Linked DNA regions of Lonchura striata. The protein of the gene in region 1 interacts with the protein of each later gene in a biochemical or structural test. Links are inferred from orthologs where the notes say so. Each region holds a gene or a part of one and is shown in the gene's direction. Other genes may lie near its edges.

Region 1 (7,801 bases):
ACAAGAGCACCAGACAGGCTTCACCCTGGTGTTCTGAACCCTCTGCAGGGAGCTCTTGCCCCACAGGGCCAGCCTCACTTTTTGCTCAGGGTGACAGAAGCCCAGCAACTGAACAGCACAGCAGCTTGTGACAGGCACCCCCTGATCCTGGACCTGGCACTGTGGTCAGTACAACTAAGGCCATGCATGAGAGGAGCAGCAATTCTGTGACCCACCAAGTCATGTATTCATTCCCTTCCCCTTGTAATCTGCCACTGAAGGTCCTGTACACCAAGTACCAAAACAAACAGATTTCTTCTTCCTCTCTCTGCCAGCCTGAAAGCTCCTGGGCACCAGTCCTTCCTCTTACCAGTCTTGAAGGTCGCTGGCACAGAGCCAGCTCTGTGTTGCTGACAGCTATATCACAGAGCAGGGAAGTACAACACAGAGCACACTGTCTACAGAATCAATTAGAAAGTCCTAAGGGCACCTTGGGAGTAAAATTTCTGCTGGACAGCTCAGGATCCCTCTGCTCAGGGACACATCTACCATTGCCTGCTTCCTCCCATGACTGAGGGAGAGACTTGAATTATTTGTATCATTTTTGAATCTATGTTATGAGCATTATATTAATACACAGAACCATCTATTAAGATCTGATCCAATCTGCAGAGGGCTCAGGTGACTAGAAATTGTAACTTAAGATGTATTAGAATGCAGGTGATTAGAAATTGTTAAGTTGCACGATAGATCCTGTATTACACTGCTTATAGAGTGTACTACATTGATTCTGCTTGTAGAAAAACTGTGCCACTGTAATCACAAATCCTCTGCTATATTAATCATAACATGATAGGAAAATGAAGTTCTGATTGAAATGACAATTAAGGGCCATCATCATTCTGCCAAGGATCCCTTAAAAGAACATACGGGTCCCCTCAGTATTGGTGACACTCCTGTGTGACCATACCTGTTTTCTAGGCCATCCACATAGATCTTCCTCCGGCGACGACTATCCTGAGCTGCCTGCTTGTTCCGAATCTTACGACGCACTTTCCTCAGAACTCGCTCCTCAGCCTGCAAGGTTCACCTCATTAACAGCAATCCCAGGGTGTTGGCAATCCCACCCTCTCAGACTGCGCTCACATATCAATCCTCAGCCCTAGTGCTTGTGTCCTCTGTCCTTCGTACACCAGTGAATAAACTGCAAGGCAAACCCTGGCCTTGCTGGTGCAGCCAGCAGCTTCCGTGACTCAGCAAAAGTAAGGCGTACCTAAGGAAAATGAAAAGCACACAGACCACAAGCCACTAGGCAAGCAGGAAAAAATAGCTGCAGGCACTCGTGGTGTAATTGCCTCCTGCAAACAGCCACAAGTCTGGAGACTGACAGCAGCCAGAAGCTGCTGTGCACATGGACAATGCCCTGGACTCGAAAGAAGGAAAAGGACACTGAGCCCAGATGAACACTGCCTGGAATGCAGCATCTGGACAACATATTCTCATCAAGGCACTGTCCTGCAGTTTCAAACCCCTACGATACCTGATACATTAAGAGTGGTCTGCATGGTTCTAGTGAGGACTCACTTTGGTCAGTGGCAGACAGGTTGGTAATGTAACACCTTCTTTCTCCAGGAGCTGCTTCTCCTCCTCTGTCAGGACCAGCTCTGGGAAGTCAGACTAGAAAACAGCAAAAATAAGCCTACTGAGAATGCATACTACAGGGAGTCCATCCGCCAGCAAGGGCACATAGCAAACACACAGAACTGGAATCAGCTCTTCCAAAGTAATGTCATGCTTTCCCTCAGAGATACCCCTCACAGGAGCCAAGTCAGAAGAGAAGGAGAAATGTGAGAAGCAAAGGCTGGGGTCCACAGGCATGGGAGTCAGTACCTGTACAATGGCTCCAGGCACAAGCTGGGGTTCATCTTCCACAGCAACAGCAACGGGGGAACTGGTGCTCTGTTCCAGTGCCTCACTTGTACTTTCCAAACCTACCCATGCCCCTGGGGAAGGAAAGATGAGTCAAATGCTGGGCCTCACTGAGGCAGCACCTGACCAGCCAGCTTTGAGTGGCATGAAATAGCAATTTTATAACAGCAGAAAGCCTTTAATCTTGGCTCTCTCCATCTTTGCCTGACACCCCCAAAACAAACCAGTATGGGACTACTTTTCTCTTTTCTGCCTGCAGCCAGGGCACAAAGAGTCCGTAACATCACTCACCTAGCTCAATGGTAACATCTCCTTCTGCCATGTCAGACCTCACACTTTCCAGTGTAGGCCACTCTTGATGAAGGGAGTAGTTATGATCAACGTGCACAATGTCTCGGCTCGCAAAATTGCTATTGAGGCAATGGGACAGAAGCTGATCCTCAGAAATGCTGCTGTCATTGTTGGCAGGCAAGTAACTGAGCCTGTCTGGTTCATCTTCTAAAGGGCTCAGCAGTGAGCTGATGAAGTCATCCATCTCCTTGTCCAGGAGCTGCAGAGGAATAGCTTTTACTCAGCAGGGAGACAAACCTCCTAAACCTCAGCTCAGCAGCAATTCCTTACAAAGAACTCACCTCAGGCATTGGCAGGCCCCAGTCTTCCAGCAGACCATTCTGCTCCCCTGGGATTTCAGGGCAGGGAGCATCCTCCTTCAGAAGAAAGTCAAGCAGATCCACATCTGCCAGGGCATCCAGTTCCTCTGGGCATGACATCTGAGCAGGACACCCAAAGTGAGCACAGACACAACAGGAGACACCAGCCTTGCTTTAAGGTGTCCCTCAGACCCTATGAAGTATCCCCATGCAATGTCAACAGCAGGAATGGCCAGTTCACAAGTACTTCTCCAGCCAGGTAACATCTCCTTCTGCCATTATAGCACCAATGGTGACAATACAAGGTTATTTGGACCCAGCCACAGGAGCCATGCTCCACCCAGAGCATAAAAGCTGCAGAAAGGACAGGAAAAATGAAACAATCCCAGACTTAATGGTGTGGAGAGCAGGCAAGATTCTGCTGTTCCACAGAAACCTGAAGGTGCCATACCCCTTGGTATGCAGCGAGAGCTTCCTGTGCCAGGAAAATTAAGAACAGTCTTTGCTGAGGTTTTAACCAAAGGGATTCTGTTAATGATTAAATCATGATCAAATTCTAAGTAATCGATGACTGAGCAAAAATTAAATGGCAATCAAATGGTGATTAAGTGATCATTGAAAGGTAATTAATAAGTGATTTGACAGACCTATATGATGACTTAGCAATTCAGACAGCTGTCAAACACAGTACTGTTTAACACACTCGTAATAAGTAAGGGGATGAAACAAATAAATAGATGGATATATATAAAGGTCACTAGCACACAGTATACCTTTAGGCTGAAAGTAAAATGCTCCTTACCTTACTGTAGAGATCAGACACTGGTAAAGAATCTCTCTGCCCTGAGGAGTGACCTGGAGAGCTGTCCCTGCTGCCAGGGACGTCAGGGCCCAGCGGCGTGAGAGCAGCAGAGCTCAGCGGCTGGAGGCGGCCACAGGTACGGGGAGGGCAGTGAGGGACCTGCAGCCAAACACTGCCCTGGGGCTTGTGCACCTGCGTGGCTGTGGCAGCTTTAGCTTGGCCTGGTCCCAGCTCGGGCTGCTGCTGTTATGTCCTGACAAGGCATGGCCCAGGAGCCTCGGTCCCTGAGGAGATGCGGCCTCGCATGGCTCTCGGCGGGATCAGCCCGGCCGGCTTGTGGGCGATGCCTGAGCCAAGGCACCACTCAGGCTGTCAGAGCACAGGCATCCATGGCACCTCTCCATCAGCACTGCTAAGCTTTCACATCTAGCTGTCAAGTGTCACGGTCTGAAAAAAAAAAAAAAACCCAGAAAAAATAGAATACCACCAAAACCACCTGAAACCCCTCCCAAAACCAGAGGGCCAGCGCAGTCCCCAGCCAGGACTGCTGAGCCAGCTGACTAAGGGGAGAGCTGTCAGCAGAAAGTTCAGCAACAAGAGGAAGAGGAGCTGGGCAAATCCGGGCAATGTCAGGGCCCATGGCTTCCACAGACGGTTTCCCCCAGGGAGCGTGCGCCGGGCAGGCAGCACGGGCAGGACGGGAACAGGAGGAGCAGGTGCGGCAGAAAGGCGAGCGGAGCGCAGGGGCGGGCACATCCACCCGAGGAGAACCAAGCAGCCCGTCTCAGCCCCGGCTGCGGGCCGGACCCGGCTGCCCGGACCGCCGGGACCTCCGAGCAGCGGAGCCCCGACCCCCGGTCGAGCCCGCGCCCAGCCGCCCCTCACCTCCGCCTCGCCGCTGCCAACGCCCCGCGGTGACGCCACCCAGTGTCCCGGCGGGCCCCGCGCGCGCCGCCCCGGCTCCTCCCGCGCTGACGCACCGCTCGCCTATTGGCTAGGAGGAGGGGGGCGCGTGGCCGGCGGGAGCGCGCGCGGGCGGCGGGAGCGCGGGGCGGGGCGGGAAAAGAGGGGAGCGGAGGGAATGGGGGAGACGGGTTGAAGGGAGGGCGGTGGGTCCGGGGTCATGCCGAGCCCCGGGGGTGTCCCGGGGCGGGCGGGCGCCCGGGAGTGCGATGTGAGCAGCAGGTGGAGCACGGCCACGCTGCGCGGGCGCGGAACCGTGACCAGCCCCGGGGCGTCGGGCCGAGTCGTGCGGGTACAGAGCGCTGTCCGTGGGAGCGGATTGCCCGTGGCGCGGTGTCCGGATGGAGCGCAGCGCCGAGGCACCGTGCAGCGCGGCGCCGCGTTCTGGCGCATGCGCGTGGCGGGGTGGGGGGGGCGGGAAGCGGGCGGTGCCGGCCGCTCAGCTCCCCTCAGCGACGCGGGGCCGCCGCGCTGCTCCTGCCCGCGCAAAGGTACGGGGACGGAGGACACTCGGTGTCCCGGTAACCGGGGGCTGGGGGCTGCGGAGTGGGGTCCTGCGGACCGGTAGGGCCCTGAGTCTCGGGGGGCTGCCGGAAACGGATGTCCTGGGGACCCTGCCCTGCACCCCCCCGGTACGTGGCGGGGAGGTAGGGAGGAAGCAGCTTTCCGGTTACCGGGGTTTCCCTGCTCCAACCGGGGTTTGTCCGTGGGGCTGCGGTGACCCGAGGGCTTCCGGGGTTCGCTCAGACTTTGGGGCATGCCCAGATCGCCCCTGGCACCGGCGCCGCCGGAGCACCGACACCCGCCGGAGGCTCCGGGGTAACATGGGCTGGCGCGGCCACGTTATCCCCGGCCACGTTATCCCGGCCTTGTACTTGCCCTGCTTCAGCAGGCTCTGGCCTGGAGTCCACCGTGGCGAGGCCCGGGCCAGCATCCCCACCTCGGGGGTCTCTGGGGACCGAGCTGGACAAGCCTGGCCGTGGCCAACAGTCCGCGTAGGCCAGGCGCGGCTTTTCCCGGGGCATCCCGCCCACCCTGCCGGGGACGTGGGGAAAAGCGCGTGGCAAGGGTGTCCGTGTCCTGCTGCGTGGTTTTGGGTGGGGACACCAGGGCTTCCCGTGACCACACCGAAGCCAGGGACGTCACCCGAACAGTTCTCACTAGGACACACAGCTGGCTATAGGCCCCAGGATGGGGCGCTGGGGTGGTTCCCATGCAGGGTGGGACTGGCCCTAATCGGGGAAGGCTTGGGTCCCCACCATATCCCGGCTGAGACAACTAACCAAGCAGGGAGAAACGCTGCCCCATCTTCTGCCTGTTCCCTGCCGGATCCTGCCCGAGCCCCTGCAAGCTCCCCATCCCTTTGAATCTGCCGGCAGGATGTCTACATGCTTTTGCCGTGTCTTCATCGCTGCCTGTTAGACCCATATTTGGTAGCGATAATTGTTTACTCCCTTCTCTCTCTGTGCCTTGCTGCTGAGAAGGGAAGGGCGCATATTTTTGGGATCTTTAGTTTTGCAAAACCTGTGAGCTGCCTAATAAAAGCTCCAGACCACCTGCCTTTCCCTGGATCATAGGGTGAAACCGCCCAAGTGCTGAGTGAATCTGTGATGGTGCATGGGAAGTACCACCCAAGCATCAGTTTCCTTGCTGAATGGCAGTGGCAGGAATTTGATGCTCCCCAAAGTGACATATCCTATTAGATTTAGGGAAGGGGGAGTGGGAAGGCTGAGGAAAATGAAAAGAGGCCTGTGGGGTGCCCTTCTTTTCAGAACTGAGCTTTGCTGGCTGCTGACCAGCAAATGACCCAAAAATGCAGCCATGCTCTCTTCTTTCTTTCACCTTTCTGCCTGTCCAGCAGCACAGTGCTGGGCAAGTTGCTTGTTGTGGGAAGCATGGGTGCTTGGATCAGGGCACTTAGTGCTTTCCAGAGGTCATGACAGCATCCACTGCAACTCAACTCCTGCTCTTGGAGTCCTGTGCTAGAGGGCCAGCTTGCTAAGGATGCAGGAGAGGCTGCAGCTGGGGTCCCACCATGCCTGCCTTCATCATGGGCAGTCTAGAGGTGCCATGATTTGTGCTCCATTCCTTTGGAGGTCAAGCGATGCCCAGCAGGAGCAGACAGGATGTGAGATGTGTGTGAAACATTGGCAGACAATAGCTGGAGCTGCTTCAGCTCAGTGCATGTGAGCAGGCAGGCAGGCTGCGGCTGCGATCCTCCAGCCCAGCTGTTTGGCCCCTGCCCATTTCCCATGCAGAACAGGGCTGCTCTCCCTGAAGGAGTGAGAGGATGCGCCTGTCCTAGCCATGGCTAACAGCGGAGTGGTCATGGGGGTGCAGTGTCTGGCCTTGACAGCCACTCATGCTCCCCAGGAGCAAGCTCAGCCTCAGCTGGAAGAAACTGTCCTCCCATCTGACGTGGACATGCAGCTGGGAAAGAGGAACTGGGTTGAACGGTCTCAGCAGCGTGTGACACTAAACCAGCTGGGGCTGCTGGCTCAGTCTTCCCATTGGTGCAGGGCTGAGCTCTGCCTACCTCTGCCTGCTGTGGCTGTGTATACTGGTCCTGCACCGGAGAACACAGGAGAACCCAGCTAGAGCCTAGTCTGGCTTCTTACCAGCTTAATTTTTGGTGTTGATGGTGTGCAGATGTTTACATGCTGGCCAAGCCACTGTTGCAGACATTGCGTTTTGGTGGCCTGGTATCTTCCTAGCTGTGCCAGTGGCTGTACTGGCTGGGCTGTGCCTGTGGAAAGCCCCAGCACTGGGATGGTTTGCAGCTGATGAAGCTTCCTGCAGCCAGCTCCTAGTCCAGAGGTGGTCTGCAGTGGGGCCTTTCCCAGGTGAAATTTGGTATTACCATAAAAGAAGGAAAAACCAAACCCCATTCCAAAACCTCTTTCAAAGTATCCCTTAAGAGAGAACGTAATAAAAATGGCAGAACTGTTGCATCTGAAGATTTGCAGCTTGTTCTGGAAACTCATCACAAGTGTTCCAGCTGTCCACAGTTGAATTTTGCTTAATTTTTTTTGTCTTTTAAGACGCAAACCCTTCAAATGTAACTGTTACTTCAGCAGTGAAGTCATCCAACAGAAATACAGTAATTCCATCGTGTGACCAAAAACTCACTGTCAGTGGTCCCCAGCAATGACGCGGTTCTTTGGGACACACATGTCCTGTCTGCCCACAGCCCTGCCTGCACTGGCCCTGCTCTGAGGCAGAGCCTGGAGCCTCCACCGCTGTCTTGGTTTTGCTCACCTTGCGTGGGGTGAGATGGAGGAAGCCGCAGCAGCTCCTGGGGAAGTGGTGGGACCCCACCAAGGTTAACCCCTCCCCCTCAGCATTTTGGGATTGGCTCAGAAGCGTGCCTGTGGTTCAAAAAGGGTTGCGCACAACTTGCTATAAAATGCAGAAGTGTGTTAATCCGGCTGCTCCGGTGCCTTATCTGACTTTGCATAATGACAACATGATTGAGAAT
Region 2 (8,094 bases), on another chromosome or scaffold:
CTAGCTGGGGATATTCCTGCGGCGGTGCAACGGCACAGCTCTGCTGCAGGCACACCAGGCTTGCAGGCTCGCTCACCCGAGGCAGTGCTCATCATCACAGCAAGGTGCACATCCTCATGCACTCACACTCCTGTAATCCTGCTGCTCCACGAGAGTACAGAAATCATACCTTTGGATTTCTCTGCGTTTGGAACTCACATTAATGAAAGTACAGTGGTCGAGTGCTAGTGTGTATCCAAGTGACTTCGCTCCAAATGCCTTTTTCTGACATAATAGCTGCCTCCATGGCACCTCCAGGACAATCCTTAGACATGAAAACTTTTATGTCCTGAGCTTTCATTTCCTGTTAGTTTTAGAGGGTTTTTGTAACAAGATAGATGCAATATGACATGAGATTATGAACAGAATTGAAACAAAAAAGCACCTGTTGTTTGCAAATATTGGGAGAATTTGTTTCCTCTCTGCATGGAAATGCTCCAGCATAGTCATCCTGTGCTTCATGGAAACCTGCAGCAATAAAGGCAAGCATTTGAAAATTTCAGATAAATGGTTAGAGACCTATTTTGGTACTGACTTCTGATGGCACCAGACATTGTGATTTATGATTTCATGCTTTCAGTGAAACAATCTGATGGCCAGAAATCACGCAATTTTTGAGGATTAATGTATTTTTAAAAAGGCTTTATATTACATTTACAGTGACACAAACTAATGTTGTTGAAGGAATTTAGAATTTTATTGCCAAGAAGCAGCAGTGAGGTCAGATGAGGGCAGTCCTGGTGCAGCCCGCTCCCAGGAGGGACAGCTTTGTCAGGTCATCAAAGGACACTCATTCTTCCTGGTCATGGTCCTGGCCCAGGCTCATGTTCTGCCTTCCCTCAAAGAGCATCTTCACTTATGCCAGTCACTGCTTTCACAAGAATCTGGGTTTTGCCTTGAAATCTATCTATTTATTGGACAATCCTAAGCTCTTGCTTAAACTTCTTGTTATCAGGACAGTCTGTAGCACTTTCTCCACAAGTATGACTTCTTTCCTCCTGACTTGAAAGAAATAGCTTCTTGGTTCCCTTCTCTAGGTGCCAAGATGGAGACATCTCCTAGCACAAGTTTGCTGCTTCTTCATGGTAGTCAGTGTTTCTGACCAATTCATAGCACTTTTGGATGAGTATTTTGGGAAAACAAAGAGCTTTTAGCTCTTTCGATGCTCTCAAGTGGATAGAAATTAAATAGATAATATGGATACTGTGCAGTTTATATGTTAGCAATATCTAACAAATAGAAAATAAAGAAATTGACAGAAGGATAGGAAAATAAAGCCCAGGGATTGTGGAAAAACATGTATATAAGAACTTTAAGTATGACATGCAGATAAATTCTTTGTCACTGTCAGGATCAAAGTTTAATCTGTCCTTTTACTATTAGATCTACCTCAGGAAGAATATCTGTTTAGTGCCACCGTAGTTGTAACTGTATGAAAGACTTGACAGTTTGATCACAAAATAGTGTTGAATGTTAATAACCCATTTTTGTAGGTTTAAAATAGTTTTGTCCTACATGATCAACAGCAGCATCTCAGACTGAGTTTCTACAGTAACCAACTTCATAGCATGGGGGAAAAAAGTATTCAAGCCCTGAACTGATCGAGAATTGTATTTTAAATACAATATCCTAGGAAGGGTTTTACCCGAAAATATTTCAGTGTTTGTGCATGACTGTTTGGAAAACATAGAAAGGTGAAAGAGTCCTGAAGTGTCCTGCCCTGATGCTAAATGAACATGATATAAGACTTGTGATGAAACCAAGAAACAGTTATCAATCAGCATCAGTTTCAGGAAGCATTATTGTATCGAGACATCTCATGGTGCCTTTATAAAAGGAAAACCTACAATAATTTAATAGTTCAGCCTGCTGTGCCAAATAAATGAGTCAAAGCAGAGGGGTGGGGGGAAGAGAAGGAGTATGAGCCATAGTTTTGCAATTGCACTAGCCTGCAGGAAAGTGTTGATTTACTTCCAAAGTATTTCTGCTAGGAGAATGATGGGAGATGCCACTGCAAAGCTTGAGTTTTTCTGGGAAATTAAGGACACCTCGCTTTTTTATTCCCCATTTACAAGCACAGATTTTCATTCAGTTTTCAAAAGGCCTTCAGACAAAGAAACCAAGTGAATGACGTGGAAGTGTATTTTATGCATAGTGCAGCAGAAGTTAGCTGTTGGAAAGAGATGGTTGCTATAGGCTTGTATGGCTCATGTAAACTCAAGGGCAGATGGTTCACAGCCTGTCTTGGGCCTCTTCAGGGATGTGGAAACCAGGCTGGGCATGAAGGGTTTAAGATTTTTCTCCTGAAGTTTGAATTTCAAGTGGAAAATTTAAAATGCCTCAATTTTGATAGGCTTTTCCAGGATTTGAGAGATGCTGCACTTATGTTATTTTTGTCTTCTGTATGGTAGGCTATAATTCCTGGCTGAACTATGTTTCCTCAATATACCAGTGCTGACATAAAGGACAGCAGTTTCAGGAAGAATGGTGACTACATTAACATGAGAGACGTGATCACAGTAGCTGGAACACAGAAGACACACGTATTTCATCCAAGTTGGATAGTTTTTTCCAGGTGCGTTGTGTGTAAGCTACAATTCTCTGAAAACACATAAAACTGCTTAGCTTAAAAGCCTGGAAATCAAATGAAAAAATTATTCTGGTGACCTTACTTCTGTTCCTTGCATGACGAACATGATGGCATCTAAAACCAGTTTTAGTGTGCTGGAGCAGAGCCTGAAGCTGGCAGAAGAGTACAGCTTTGGCTTCAGTTGCTGAGATGCCAGAAGAGATTGTAAGTCCTTGAAATTCTTCCAAGAAGTCACTTTGTCCTGGATGAAAACTGGCATTTATCAGTGCAGATGATAGTGGTGTATTTTAGATGGCATCAATATTGATTTGTATACTGCACGAGCTTTTAAATATGATTTAAGATAAAGCTTAGCTTAACCTAAGACATTTCTCCACAAAGCATTGATTTAATGTTAATGTTTTATGTGTTGCTTTCTTTGCTATAGACTTTCATTTGGTTCACAAAGACTTCCCAAGTAACCTTCTCAGTTTCCTCTTTCAGGCACTTGCAAAAGCCCCACAAACACTTGACACGTGAGTAAGTACTCAAAAGTTTAATTTATACTATGTGACAGGCAGCTTCAAAAGCAATTAATTAATGGTGGTTATTATTGCTCATCTCAAATTCATTATTACCCTTCTAGTTGCTTTGACTTGGCTTATTGTTTTCCCAAGCCTTATGAAGACCATGGAAGAAAATTTAACTTGAAGATCTAACAGAAAAGTTAAAATAGGTTAGTTCTTTTACTATTCCTGTAGTACTATTTCTCGTACTTCGCCTCTTAAAGTGCTAGGTATTGTAAGCAGAGTCCTTACTAACCTAGAGAGAGAATTTCTTTTTTGACTTATATTTAAATAATCTACAGCAATTCTTGCTAGGTGCAACGGCATCGGGTTATCTACTCTGTGTGTCTACTTGACCTTGCTTGGGCGTTTCAGAGTGTGAAGGCTGGTGAAGCCGAACACTGTAGCTGCTGATCTGTGTCTGAATCCTGACGACCAGATCTCTGGAGCAGCGCGGCTGTGTGGAAGCAGCATCGTCTTTCGGGAGAGGAGCAGAAAATAAATATCTCCTCGGCAGGTTGAAGATGCCGTGACAGGAGAGGTGCGGGGAGCGGGGCAGGGTTTGTGTCAGGCGGCAGTCGCCGTGGCCCCTCCAGAGGCTGCGCGGGCGCGGTGCCCGCGGGGGTCGGGAGGCTGTGCCCGCGGGGGTCGGGAGGCTGCGCCCGCGGGGGTCGGGAGGCTGTGCCCGCGGGGGTCGGGAGGCTGTGCCCGCGGGTGTCGGTGTCGGGAGGCTGTGCCCGCGGGTGTCGGGAGGCTGTGCCCGCGGGTGTCGGGAGGCTGCGCCCGCGGGGGTCGGTGTCGGGAGGCTGTGCCCGCGGGTGTCGGGAGGCTGCGCCCGCGGGTGTCGGGAGGCTGTGCCCGCCCATCCCGCGCTGCCCGCGGCTCCGGCGCGGCCGCGGCAGCCGGGGCAGGGCGCGGGCGGGCCGGGCGCTGCGGCGGGGCCGCCGGGCGGAGGCAGCGCCGGCGGCGGGGCTCGGGGCGGCGTTTGTGAGCGGCGGCTTTTTCGGAGTGCTTTTCTCGCCCAGCCCGACCTGTCACAGCGTATTTCAGCTTTGGCTCGGTTAGGTTTCCCGCCCCCCACCCCCTCCCGCTTGCGGTTTAAAAGTGGCGTTTCGCCGCTCAGCGGGACGCGCGCGTTCCGGGTTACTTTGGTTGCCTGCCAGGTAGCGCACATCTTCTACAGCATCCTCCTACCATCAAGCAAAAACTGTCTCCTCTCCTAAGGATTAATTATTCAACACGTTTAATGTGTTTCGGCTGACGGGGAAGACGGCCACTCGGGCACATCCTGGTGCCGCAGCGCCTGTCCCCGCTTTGTCTCGCACCTGGTGTGTTTGCGCGGCTCGCCGGTCTTCTCCCTCAGGCCGCCGCCTCCCGCTCCTGCCGCCCGCTCCCCGCTGCTGCCCGCGGGGCCGGGGGACGCGGGCCGGTGCCCGGCCCCGCACCTTGCCCGCGGGGATGCGCGGGGCGGGGCCGCCCCTCGGCGGAGGCTCCGCGGGCGGGGCGGGGCGGGGCGGCCCGGGCAGAGCGGCCCGGCGGCCGCGGAGGAGGGGCCGGGGGCTGGCCGGAGCCGGGCGGTGCCGCCGCCCGGGCAGCGCGGGGGGTTCGGCGCCGGGCGCGGCGGAGCGGAGGCTTCGCTCCTGACTTCGCTCTCCCCGCAGAGCCCGAGAGGCGCCGGCACCGCCGAGGGAACGAGGCGCTTTCTTCCCGGCCGGTGGCGGCGGGGCGGCACCGGAGCCAGGAGGACCGAGAGAAGGAGCGGCGGAGAAGCATCCCGGCGCGGGCTGTCCCGTCCGCGCCCGGCTCCGTGCTGCCGCCGGCCCGGGCCATGGGCCGGCCCGACTGAGACCCGCGGACCGTCCGGCAGCCCGGCCGGTGCCGCCCGGAGCGCCGAGGCGGGGCCGCACCGCGCGGGGAAGATGCGCTCGGCGGCGCGGACAGCCGGGCTCCTCCTGCTCTGCGGGGGTAAGTACCGCGAGCCCGGCCCCCGGGAACTTGGCGGAGCTCAGGTGGCACCCGCGGCTCGCTCCGGCCCCGAAAATCTTGCCACAAATACAGACAAGATATAAATAATCCTGATGCGTTTTCTTCGTTTTTTAAAAGCTAAGTTAGAACAGATGTGAGTTTGCTTTTCTCTGAATTTATGATGTGAAAGGGAAAATATTAAAGTATATTCCCATTTTAACTTTCTAAAACATTATTTCTTCTCTGCTATCCTATTCCCAGAGCTTTTTGTATCATTAGATAAAATGCGTTTTGGATTGGTAAATGAAAATGACCAGAATACGAATAGTGATTGCATTGTAAGTTGGATGATGCTATCCGCAGATGTCAAGTTTCTAAAGCAAACAGAAAATCCATTATATCTCTTTTTCTTCCATATGGCTTTGTTTGCTGATGGATTTCTGACGTTTACATGAATAAATAAAAGTTGTATGCTAGAGAATGCAGTACAACCTTGCACGTCAGAAATGCATTTATGAAAAAAGTAAAGCCCAAACTACTTCACTAGTTGTTCTAACAGTGAGTAGAGTGCAATATTAATTCTGCCCTTGTGATTCCTCATAAGCATGTGACTTTTTCCTTCTTGTTATTAATTCAGATTAACTGTATTAATTTGTACCATTTTAAACTACTTGCAATACTTGCAGATATTATAAAGCTCCTATTTAATTTTTAATTTTTTTTTACTACACTGAAATACTTTAAGTTGCCCATATGTTTTCTCTTCTTAATAGGTTGTTGTTAAGGCCTGATTTTTGTAAAATCTCACTAGTAGTGAAGTCTATGATATAAGGGTATAAAATGTGTAGGATATACAGCATCTAAACACACTCATCTAGTAAAAAAAAAAATAAAGTGGGTTGCATCCCAAGACATTTCACTGTCAGGAAGAATTAGCCATACTTGTATTGCTAATGGATGATCTATCATGCCTACTTTGCTTTTATCTTTGGCAAATCCATTTTCTTTAATGTTTTTTGGCAGAATTAGGAGAAATGTAATTTACGTAAGTTTCTCGGCTTGAGGGTTATCTTTTCATTAGCCAAAATGATTCACATGCATTTGCTTGAAGATGATTTTCAGTGATTTCTGTTTAAGCTGGACAGATGAGTTTTCTTCAATTCATGCTGAGTTACCCCAGATTATTGCACATCCTGAACTAGCTGGTGTTAGGAACTCTGGAGCTGCATTCTCAAATGGCTTTTTTTTTTTTTTTTTTCCCCTCTTGCAGCGTTTCCCTTTCAGTTGGACCACCATTTGATTTTACTTTTAGTTGTACAACTTTACATGAATTTCATTCTGAAACTCTCAGATGGGAAAGGGGTTCTCTTTACTGAAGACAGGTATCTAAACCTTCCTAAATATCAGACCTCAGCAGTTGGAAATAGTTTCAAAGACTTTTTATTACTAAATGTAGCCATAAATTGTTAACTTTTGGATCTGCCAAAAATATATTTGGAGGAATATTATAGGAGCTAATTTATTTGAGTAGAGTAGGCTGCCAAGTAGATTTTTTTTTTGTATACTGCTTGTTTATACTTAAAGTTAAAAATGTTTTGCTTATGCTCGCAGCTTTGACTACTGAGGCTTAATACTTGGTTCTCCTTATTTTCTGCTAAAATTGTTGGGAAGGAATGTTGTGTACATTTATGCTTTGGGTCATTATATTTATAGTTAGGGTCATTGTATTCATAGTTATTTCAGGAATTATTCATAGCAATATTCTATGGGTGTCTGTTGATAGAGAAACACTGCTTCACATTGTTGAGGTGTGTGACACTAATTAGCTTTTATGCAGTAAGAGCTGAGTTTGCAGCATTGTGTCTTGGAGGTACTAGCAAAGCCCCTGCATGCACAGAGTTCCAGTTTAGGAACCCAGCTGTCTCAGGAGTGATGATGCATTCTTATCGTGGAGAACACTGTGAAACTTCAGTGGGCTCCATCCTGGGGGAAAGCCAGGGTCTCTTCAGTGATAACTGGCGTGCTCTTGCCAGGTGGTGTGAAGGAATCTCTTTCAGCTGGGCAAGACCTCATCATAGAGGCTTGCCACCCAAAGTTAACCTGCAGGGATACCCTTGCACTCAATTGCTATTGGTACATCTTTGGTTTATAGAAAGGTTTTGGAGAGGTTAAAACTGCCGTAGTTCATAGAACGCGTGCTCTCAACAAACCCGGAGGCATTTTACTGAGTGAGCTGGCGTGGGCAATCCGTGAGCGTGCTGTTAGTTGAAGGGATTAGGTTTGGTTATTTTGTATTGGTGGGCTGCATAAAGCACACTGGCCCATTTGTTCTGAGGCAGAAAGGCACAGCCTTGGTGCTTCTGCACCACAGGCAACGTGTGAGTCTCCTGCATGCACTGTCCTTAACGTGCAGTAGCCTAAAACCAGCAAAAATAAAAGGAATGTTTCTTCTCAAATTAAGGCTTCTGTCTCTTTTACCAATTAAAAGAAAGGCAGGGTTTTATTATGGAGTGTGCACCTGTCTTTTGAAAAAGTTTTGCATCTTGTCAGTTGCAGGACTTCAGGGTGTTAACTTGCTTGTCATGCTGCCTGGCTGTTTGGTGCTGGAGTTTTGATTCTGAAAGCTCAGTGATATCAGAGTAGGACCTTGTTCAGTTAAATGTAGAAAAGAGTGCCTGTGGGAAAGACTTGGTAGGATTGTCTTGTCTGGAAAGTAATTTTTGTAATTAAAGGGGATTCTTTTGACAAGATAATTTCTTTTCAGTGAATAAAACGCAGTTTGTAAGCATTACACTATGCAAATTTTTTAAAATTGAAAGGGAAATCTAATGGAAATAATAAGGTTTCTACTTCAGCAATGTGCTCTTGAATGCAGATTATTCAAACTTTTTTTCTATTTTATTGGCTGTGATATAAAACTTCTGTTGAATGTGCTAGTTCTGATGCTCATTTATG
Region 3 (7,031 bases), on another chromosome or scaffold:
TGTTGGGGTCAGCTGCCTGCTCCAGGAGAGTCTGGTTGAAAAAGGATCCATTCATGGTCTGTGTGTGACCCCAAATCTTCAGGGAAAGTAAAAGGGAAGCTTGTTGTCCCCCTGTCCACCCTTCACAAGCCAGGGTTTGGCAGCTCCAAGCAACCTCCTGTCTTTCCTCTCTCAGTGCCCAGGGATGGAGAGGGAACTTCCTCAAGGCTGTGAGCAGGTGGGAAGCCAGTCCGTGCAGCCGACAGATGTCTGGATCCCGATCTCTCCTAGCAGAGCATTAGCATGAGCCCCCAAACAAGCAAAAGGAGACAGAGAGAAAAGGAGAAAGGGAGCTGGGGGAGAGGATGGCAGACGGGGATCACCCCATGCCCCCTGCCCTCCCAGCCTGCTCCCAAAACAGTGAAGCAGTACTGCTGGATCCTGAGGTTTCTCCCGGGGGAAGGAGAGCTGGTGTCTGCCAGGGGGGAGCTCCACAAATGCAAGTTACAAGCTAAAGTCTTCACCGTGCTCAAAGAAAAAACAGCAACTCCACCCCCTTCCAGCCTCTTCCCAGGCCCGCCTTCCTCCCCCTCCACATTCACCCTGCTGCCCACCCCTTCCCCATGCTGCATACCCCATCTCTGCCTTGCCATAGGTGCCTGCACACACCCCTGTGCCACCCCAGGTGGGGGCTGAGCCCTAAGGCCCTGCAGAGTTGTCCCTAGCTCATCCCTCCCTCCAGCCCTCCCACCTGCTCCCAAAAGCATCTTGCATGGTGAATGTTTGTCCCGGACTGCTGGCAGGTCCCTGTTCCCCCAAAGGCTCCTGTAAACCTCAGGTCAGCACTGCTGTCACTCTTGCTGCTCCATGCCACCCACTCCTTCTCTGAGCAGCATGGCCCTATCCAGCCAGTCCACCCACAGCTCTGCTTGGTGATTCCTGTCCTGTGCCTCCAGAGAAGAGCTGGATACAGCCCCTCTCTTCCTCCTGTTCCTCTGGCTGGGGGCTTCTTCCTCAGGGCACATGGTCTCCCTCTCCTCCCCTTCTCACTTTAGCTCCTCCAAAGGGAGGCACTGCACCCTGATCTCTGCTCTATCCCCAGCTTTGGGTCCCACAGCAGTGTCACTGCAGCATCCAGGGCCAGAGCATCACAAGCCCCTCAGCCCCACCAAGGCAATCCCAGGGGAAATTTCACCATCACTCCCATCTCCGTGTCTGCACAAGCTCCCAAAGCGACACCATGAGCCAGGGTGTCCAGCTTGTCAGGCTTACTCCTATTCCTGCTCATCCCAAGGCTCTGCCCATAGGACTGCCATGTCCAAGCTTCCTGGCTTTGCCCATTGGCATTTGCCTGGAAATCTGTCTGGACGGCCCAGAGTAGCAGATCACCCCCAAAGCACAGTGTGAGGACTTTGCCCTGGTTTATCCACGTACATACTGGCTTGTTTCCTTTGCCCAACCTTCTAGGGGATTTTAATAAAACAAAAATGACGATTGATGAGTTGTAGCTCAAGTCAGGGACATATGGCTGGCTGAGGGTGGCAGGCAACTTGGCAGGGACAGTGTCAAGTGATCTTCCTTTTAGACAGCTGGGATCCCCTGATCTGCTGCTGTGACTTTACGGGCTCAGACCTGTTCAGTTCAGGGTTTACTTGTTGCATTTTCCTCCTTGTTCTGGATTTGGTATTTCTCTCCAGGTTGCTGCCCACTCTGCTAGGGCAGTTGAAGCAGAAGTTGTGCATGAAGGAGGGGAAAACCCTGATCCAAGGAGCATCTGCTTGTGTTTAACCTGGGACAATCCCACAGGAAATCACAGCATATACCCAGTGCCCCAGCCTGACACTGGGGATCCTCTTCCTGCATGCTCTCAGACTGAAGGACTTTCTGCTCCCTCTGGTGGCTCCAGATCCAGCATCTCCTCTCCCAGCACACCCCAGCATGGATTTGGGCTGCACCCATTGCTCCTGGGTCACAGCCTGTGGTGATGGGTCAGCTAGGGCTCCCAAACACTCCCCTGCTGGCTTCTGCCTTCATCCCACCAGGCACCCCAAAATCTGGAGCATCCCACTGTCTATTATGCAGTGCCTGGAGGTAGCATTGTGGAATCTTGGAATGGTTTGGAAAGAACCTCAAGTCATTCTAACACTCTGTCATGGGCAAGGACATCTGCTAAACCTGTCCAAACTGTCCTTGAACACTACCAGGTATGGGAATTTCACATCCCAGCAATGTTTTCAGGACAAGCAGCACCTTCTTGCAGTTTGCAGGGGAATTCCACCCGAACATCTTGGACTGAGTTAATTCCATCCTTGTCCTCAGGCAGGACCAGCCCAGGAAAGTGAAGACAGGTCAAACACTTCATTTTGTGACTTTTTCCTTTTTCTTTAGCATTTTTGCACCATGCTGAAAGTATCACAGCCCACCCTGGGTAAGGGATTCCAGGACACACAGGGTAATATGTTGTTTGGGAGCAGCAGCACTTGCCAGTTTGGGGAGCCAGGAGCTGGGTAGAATGAGTCCCTGGTGAAGAGAGCCTGGGAGATGGATGGCAGGTTGGATCTGGGGGTGTGCAGAGCCAAACAGGATGCCATAGTCCTCTCTAGACAATAAAGACTAATGTTCCTTTCCATGAAACACTCAGACATGGTCACAAGATGACACAGCACAGCACATGGGGACAGGCAACCGTGTGGGCAGAAAGCTCCACATGATGGGAAAGGCCATATAAGCAGGATGTCAAGGAAGTAAAATAAGGAATTTAGATGCCCTAAAACTGGCTAATGGGGTCTGCCGTGAGATATGGCTCCAGGTTTAGGATTTGTCTTAGCCAAGGTACAGCCATATTTGATACTGCATGAGGGTTGATGGGCTTCTCCTAGTCCCCTTTGCCAAATCTTCATTAACAAGTCCTAGGGAAGCAATTGGATTCCAGTTGGACAGTGATCCCCACTGAAGAGGACAGCAGCATCCTCAAGGTTGGTGAGGCAGTGTGGAGAAGCAAAGAGGGGCCAAAACTTCTTTTAAAGCCAAGGAAAGTCCCCAGGTCCTGAGGAAGAGTCTGTATTGCTACTTCATCTTCACAAAAACTGTTACCTCTTGTGGACAGCTGCCAGGTCTGGGACAAGTGCTGTTGTCCCCATCTCCCAGCATGGGGCTGTGGCTCTTGTACAGCTCTCTGCACATTGTCTCCAGGATGTGTCTGCAGCTCTTGGCACCCACAAAAACTTGTATTCCACAGCTTGGTATTTCTGTGTGCTGGGTTGTCTTGAGCCAGGACTGTGTCATTATTGCCCCCAACCCTTGTCAGCTGGTGGGATAGAGCATCCCAGGGAAATTACTCCAGCCCTTCTCTCCATTTTGCTCCCAATGTGTATTCCAAGTGCCTCAATTTCCCCAGCTTTGACTAGGACCTTGGTATTGCAGGGGAACAAGGGGTTTGTAAAACACCTTCAAGAGACACCCACAGGCAGTTCTGATGCTTCAGTGGGCTCAGTGCCTATGCAGATCCCAATCCCTGGATTTGTTCAGCACAGAATCAATTCCTGAGGACACAGTGGGGAAAAAAACAATACAAGTGAGAAGAAAATCAGGTCCAAATTATGTGACCCCAAGCTGAGCTTCCCTCCCTTTGAGATGTCCAGGTTTATATCCAAACTACTGGCTCCATCAGGTGCACTTCCTGGCTGGGTCTCCCTCAGCTCCCAGCTCTGCTTTAGCAGGGATATTCCCTCTCAGGTGAGGGAGCTGAGAACCCACACTTTCGTATTAATGTACATTTCCTCTATTTCTCCTTGAATCCTTGAACTCCAGCAGTTCAGACGGGGTTTAAAACCAGCTGCCTTTCAATAGTTAACAAAAGGAAGGAGTGAGCAAGGTTTTGTAAGGAATTAAAGCCAGGCGGAAGAGTCTATGTGAAAGAGCCTGTTACGAGCTCCGGGGCTGCAGGTCACCAGTGCCGAGGGAGGACTCGCTGCCAGGGTTTATTTGGTCCTTGTTTAAGCCGAGAGAGCGAAAACCTCATAAAGAGCTGGCGGCATAGCGGGCGGGGACACTACGGACTCCGAAGTGACGAGGCAGCAGTTTCCTCCAGCCGCCCCACTCGCCGTGTGTGTCATTCACCCAGCCCTGTGATTCACCCCCTCAGCCGCTAAAAGCCTCCAGCTACTCCAGAGCCGCTGCCCATCACTCATGGAGGGGCTGGTCCAAGCCGTCCCCCCACTCCGGGGTTCAGACAAGATGGATCAACTTTCCGTGACACTCGGGATCCTGCTGCTCTGCGCTACTGGCAGCTGGGGTAGGTTAACTCTGTCGCTTCTGTCACTGCTTATAGCCATTTAGTGAAGATGTTGCCTGTTACTTCTACAAATCCCAGGACTTTCTGCATTCCCAGGGTCTGTGATTTCATGGGAAAATCACTCGGAGGGGGAGCTGGCAGCCTGAGCTGCAGCGCATTCCCACATAGGAAGCACTGCTCAGGCCGGTTGGGCTTCATCTGGGTCGGGGCCAGGAACTTCTATGTTAAAGAATCAAGACATACTTTAGTGGGTTATTCTTACTGGATGTGGTAGATCTTACTGGATCTACCTGCTCTGTGTTTGGCTCTGGTTACTAGTTTATAATGCAAGGACTGGGGTGTGACTTGGGCTTCATCCTTTATAAACAGAAATTCTCTGGGAGAAATCATGTCAAGTAATCCCTCCCAGTGTCAGGACACTTTAAGGGTGCGGGTGGGGGGGCGGGGGGAATTATGCCAGCATTGCTGTCCGGTGTTATTTTTCTCATGGTTTTTTTGATGCTTTTCTTTAAGAAATCTGATTTCTGGCATCATATGATCTCAGGATAAATGTAGTTTGTATTTTTAAAAAGTTCTCAAATGTCAGAGGTACAGAAAAGCCTGGAAAAGCATTATGTCCTCTCCAGGTGTGTTCCTAATGACTAGGCCTGAAAGGAAATTTAAAAATGGTGATTTATAAATTGGTCACATTGTTTTCACGGCTAGACTTGGGATTTGGAGCAACATTGTTCTGTCTAAAGAATTCCAGGTTTTAGTGAATTCCCAGGAACAGCCTGAGGCTCTGATTTGCTGCCGGATGGAGCTGTCATTAGAACAGGACATGGGATAACCCCTGCAAGAGTTTGAATTCATAGAGCTGCAGTTTGGGGCTGTGCACATATCTCTGGTGCCTGTGCTCAGTTTGGGGCATCCCATTCCCAGGAAGACACTGGCAGGAAGGGAAAGGTTCGAGAGAAAAAACACCCCCAGAATGGTAGGGTGGGGATCTGCCAAGAAAGCCCAGCTTCTTATCACTTAGTCAAACGGAAAGGCTGGAGAGGATGTGGTTTGTACATTTATCAAGTTTCCTCAAATGTCTTTATCAGGGTTTCTCTGTGCTCATTCTTGCTCAATTTGGCAGAGGGGGAAAACAAAGTGTGTGGCTGCTCCTGCACCACACAGAGGTTACACTGGGACTGAGTAATTTTCTCCAGTCAGGACAGGATGATGCTGAGCCACAGATATCTGGGGTGCTTCAAGTGCATTATTTCCCTAAATTCAATCCCAGATTGGATGGGGCTTGAAGCAACCTGGGCTAGTGGAAGGTGTTTGTGCCCATGGCAGGGGGTGGAACTGGATGGGCTTTAAGGTCACTTTCAACCCAAACCAGTCTGGGATTCCCTGTTTTCACCTCTCTGAGGACCACAGCTCTGCCTAGCCCCAGATGGGTGGTTCCCATCATTCTGTGCAGTTTATCTCCCATTTCCTTGTAGTTCAATGCGGTGGTGTGTTTTTCTTTCATTTAATATTAGTTTAAGATTGCTTTTTTTCAAAAACTGGAGTCTTTAGGATCAGCTCATTGTGTGAGAGCAGCTGCTATCATGGTTTAAAAATGCAGGTTTTGTACTTGGGTGTATTAGTTTTTATGGCTAGGAAAAAAAAAAAACTCCAAAGATGGGGAAAAAAGTCACCAAAAAATACAGAATTTGTCAGTATAGGCTGTACTGGGATGGTGTTGAGCTGCTCACAGCCAGGTAGTGTCTGAGTCTGGGAAGGACTGCCAGGCACTCACAGGGCCAAAACCTTAGAGGACTCCAGCTGCAGCATCTTTCCCATCTTTCACATCCTCCACCTCCTCCATATCCTCCACTTCCACCCATCTGTGCTTTTGTTCCAACATCCTTACAAGGTCCTTGCTCTCACAAAACTCTCCCAACACTGCATCCCTGCATCCAGCCATACAAACGGTCCTGGGAATGCCAAAAAAGGAACATTTCCCCGTGTTGGGGGTGTGCAGTTGCCTGCTCACAGCAGGACCAACTTCATGTTTGGATGGTCATAACTGCCCAGGCCCTGCTCCATCCAGCCCCATGGAAATGCAGCCAGGAATGGCCCTGTGCAGTGCTGGAGATTGGTTCCAAGGAAGGGAAGGGTCCTCCATCCCCAGGAAAGTGTCTTGGTTATGGAGTGATGGACACCATAGGGACCACAGGGCTGTGTGAATCTGGGAGCAGATACAGACCTCCAGGGACCCCCCAGGCAAAGCCACCAGCAATGGCGTGGTGGCATGATGTGACATCAGACCCCAGGGCAGCCTTGGGAATGGCAAAATCCCTCCCACAGGGACTTCCCAACTGTAGCCCCACCTGAGCCCAGGTGCAGCTCCCCAGCCATGACAGTGCTCTGCCTAGGTCTATGTCCTTCATTCCAAAATCCATGAGAAGACTGGATTTACAAAGAGAGGGGATGCCAGATAAAGGATCCCTGGGCTTTGGGGTGGCAGCAGAAGGAGAGGAAAGGAAACCTTCAGGGTCCAGGGGCTGCACACAGGCAGGAGGTAATTTGCACCAAATGGTGAGGAACAGATGAGCTTAGAGAGTTCTGGGGCTCCTTAGCCACAAGATCAGATTTCACAGCATGAGGAGGCACCCTGGGGCTCTGCCAGCAGACATGACCCTGGAATCCTTCACATGGAGTTTTAGTGGAACCTGATCTCATTGAGAGCAGGGTTAACACTGCACAGGGGAAACTGAGGCAGGAAGTGGCTGAGGGACTAGGT

What was found.
Region 2: the proteins of TLN1 (region 1) and RET interact in a surface display test, tested with the Homo sapiens proteins (2 studies listed by BioGRID and IntAct, with this or other methods). The link is inferred for Lonchura striata from reciprocal best matches to the Homo sapiens genes TLN1 and RET.
Region 3: the proteins of TLN1 (region 1) and ITGB3 form a complex in vitro, tested with the Homo sapiens proteins (6 studies listed by BioGRID and IntAct, with this or other methods). The link is inferred for Lonchura striata from reciprocal best matches to the Homo sapiens genes TLN1 and ITGB3.

Annotation. Positions count from the first base shown.
Region 1 is NC_134642.1:39,589,085-39,596,885, reverse strand, and holds the start of TLN1 (talin-1), read left to right. Parts: upstream 1-4,735; 5' UTR 4,736-4,814; intron 4,815-7,801. Other genes in the region: CREB3 (cyclic AMP-responsive element-binding protein 3), read right to left, coding at 950-1,056, 1,564-1,656, 1,870-1,982, 2,200-2,458, 2,541-2,678. UniProt on the Homo sapiens protein: High molecular weight cytoskeletal protein concentrated at regions of cell-matrix and cell-cell contacts. Involved in connections of major cytoskeletal structures to the plasma membrane.
Region 2 is NC_134609.1:8,397,983-8,406,076, reverse strand, and holds the start of RET (proto-oncogene tyrosine-protein kinase receptor Ret), read left to right. Parts: upstream 1-4,997; 5' UTR 4,998-5,093; coding exon 5,094-5,139; intron 5,140-8,094. UniProt on the Homo sapiens protein: Receptor tyrosine-protein kinase involved in numerous cellular mechanisms including cell proliferation, neuronal navigation, cell migration, and cell differentiation in response to glia cell line-derived growth family factors (GDNF, NRTN, ARTN, PSPN and GDF15).
Region 3 is NC_134627.1:1,249,150-1,256,180, reverse strand, and holds the start of ITGB3 (integrin beta-3), read left to right. Parts: upstream 1-3,971; 5' UTR 3,972-4,167; coding exon 4,168-4,273; intron 4,274-7,031. Other genes in the region: RPRML (reprimo-like protein), read right to left, coding at 1-55. UniProt on the Homo sapiens protein: Integrin alpha-V/beta-3 (ITGAV:ITGB3) is a receptor for cytotactin, fibronectin, laminin, matrix metalloproteinase-2, osteopontin, osteomodulin, prothrombin, thrombospondin, vitronectin and von Willebrand factor.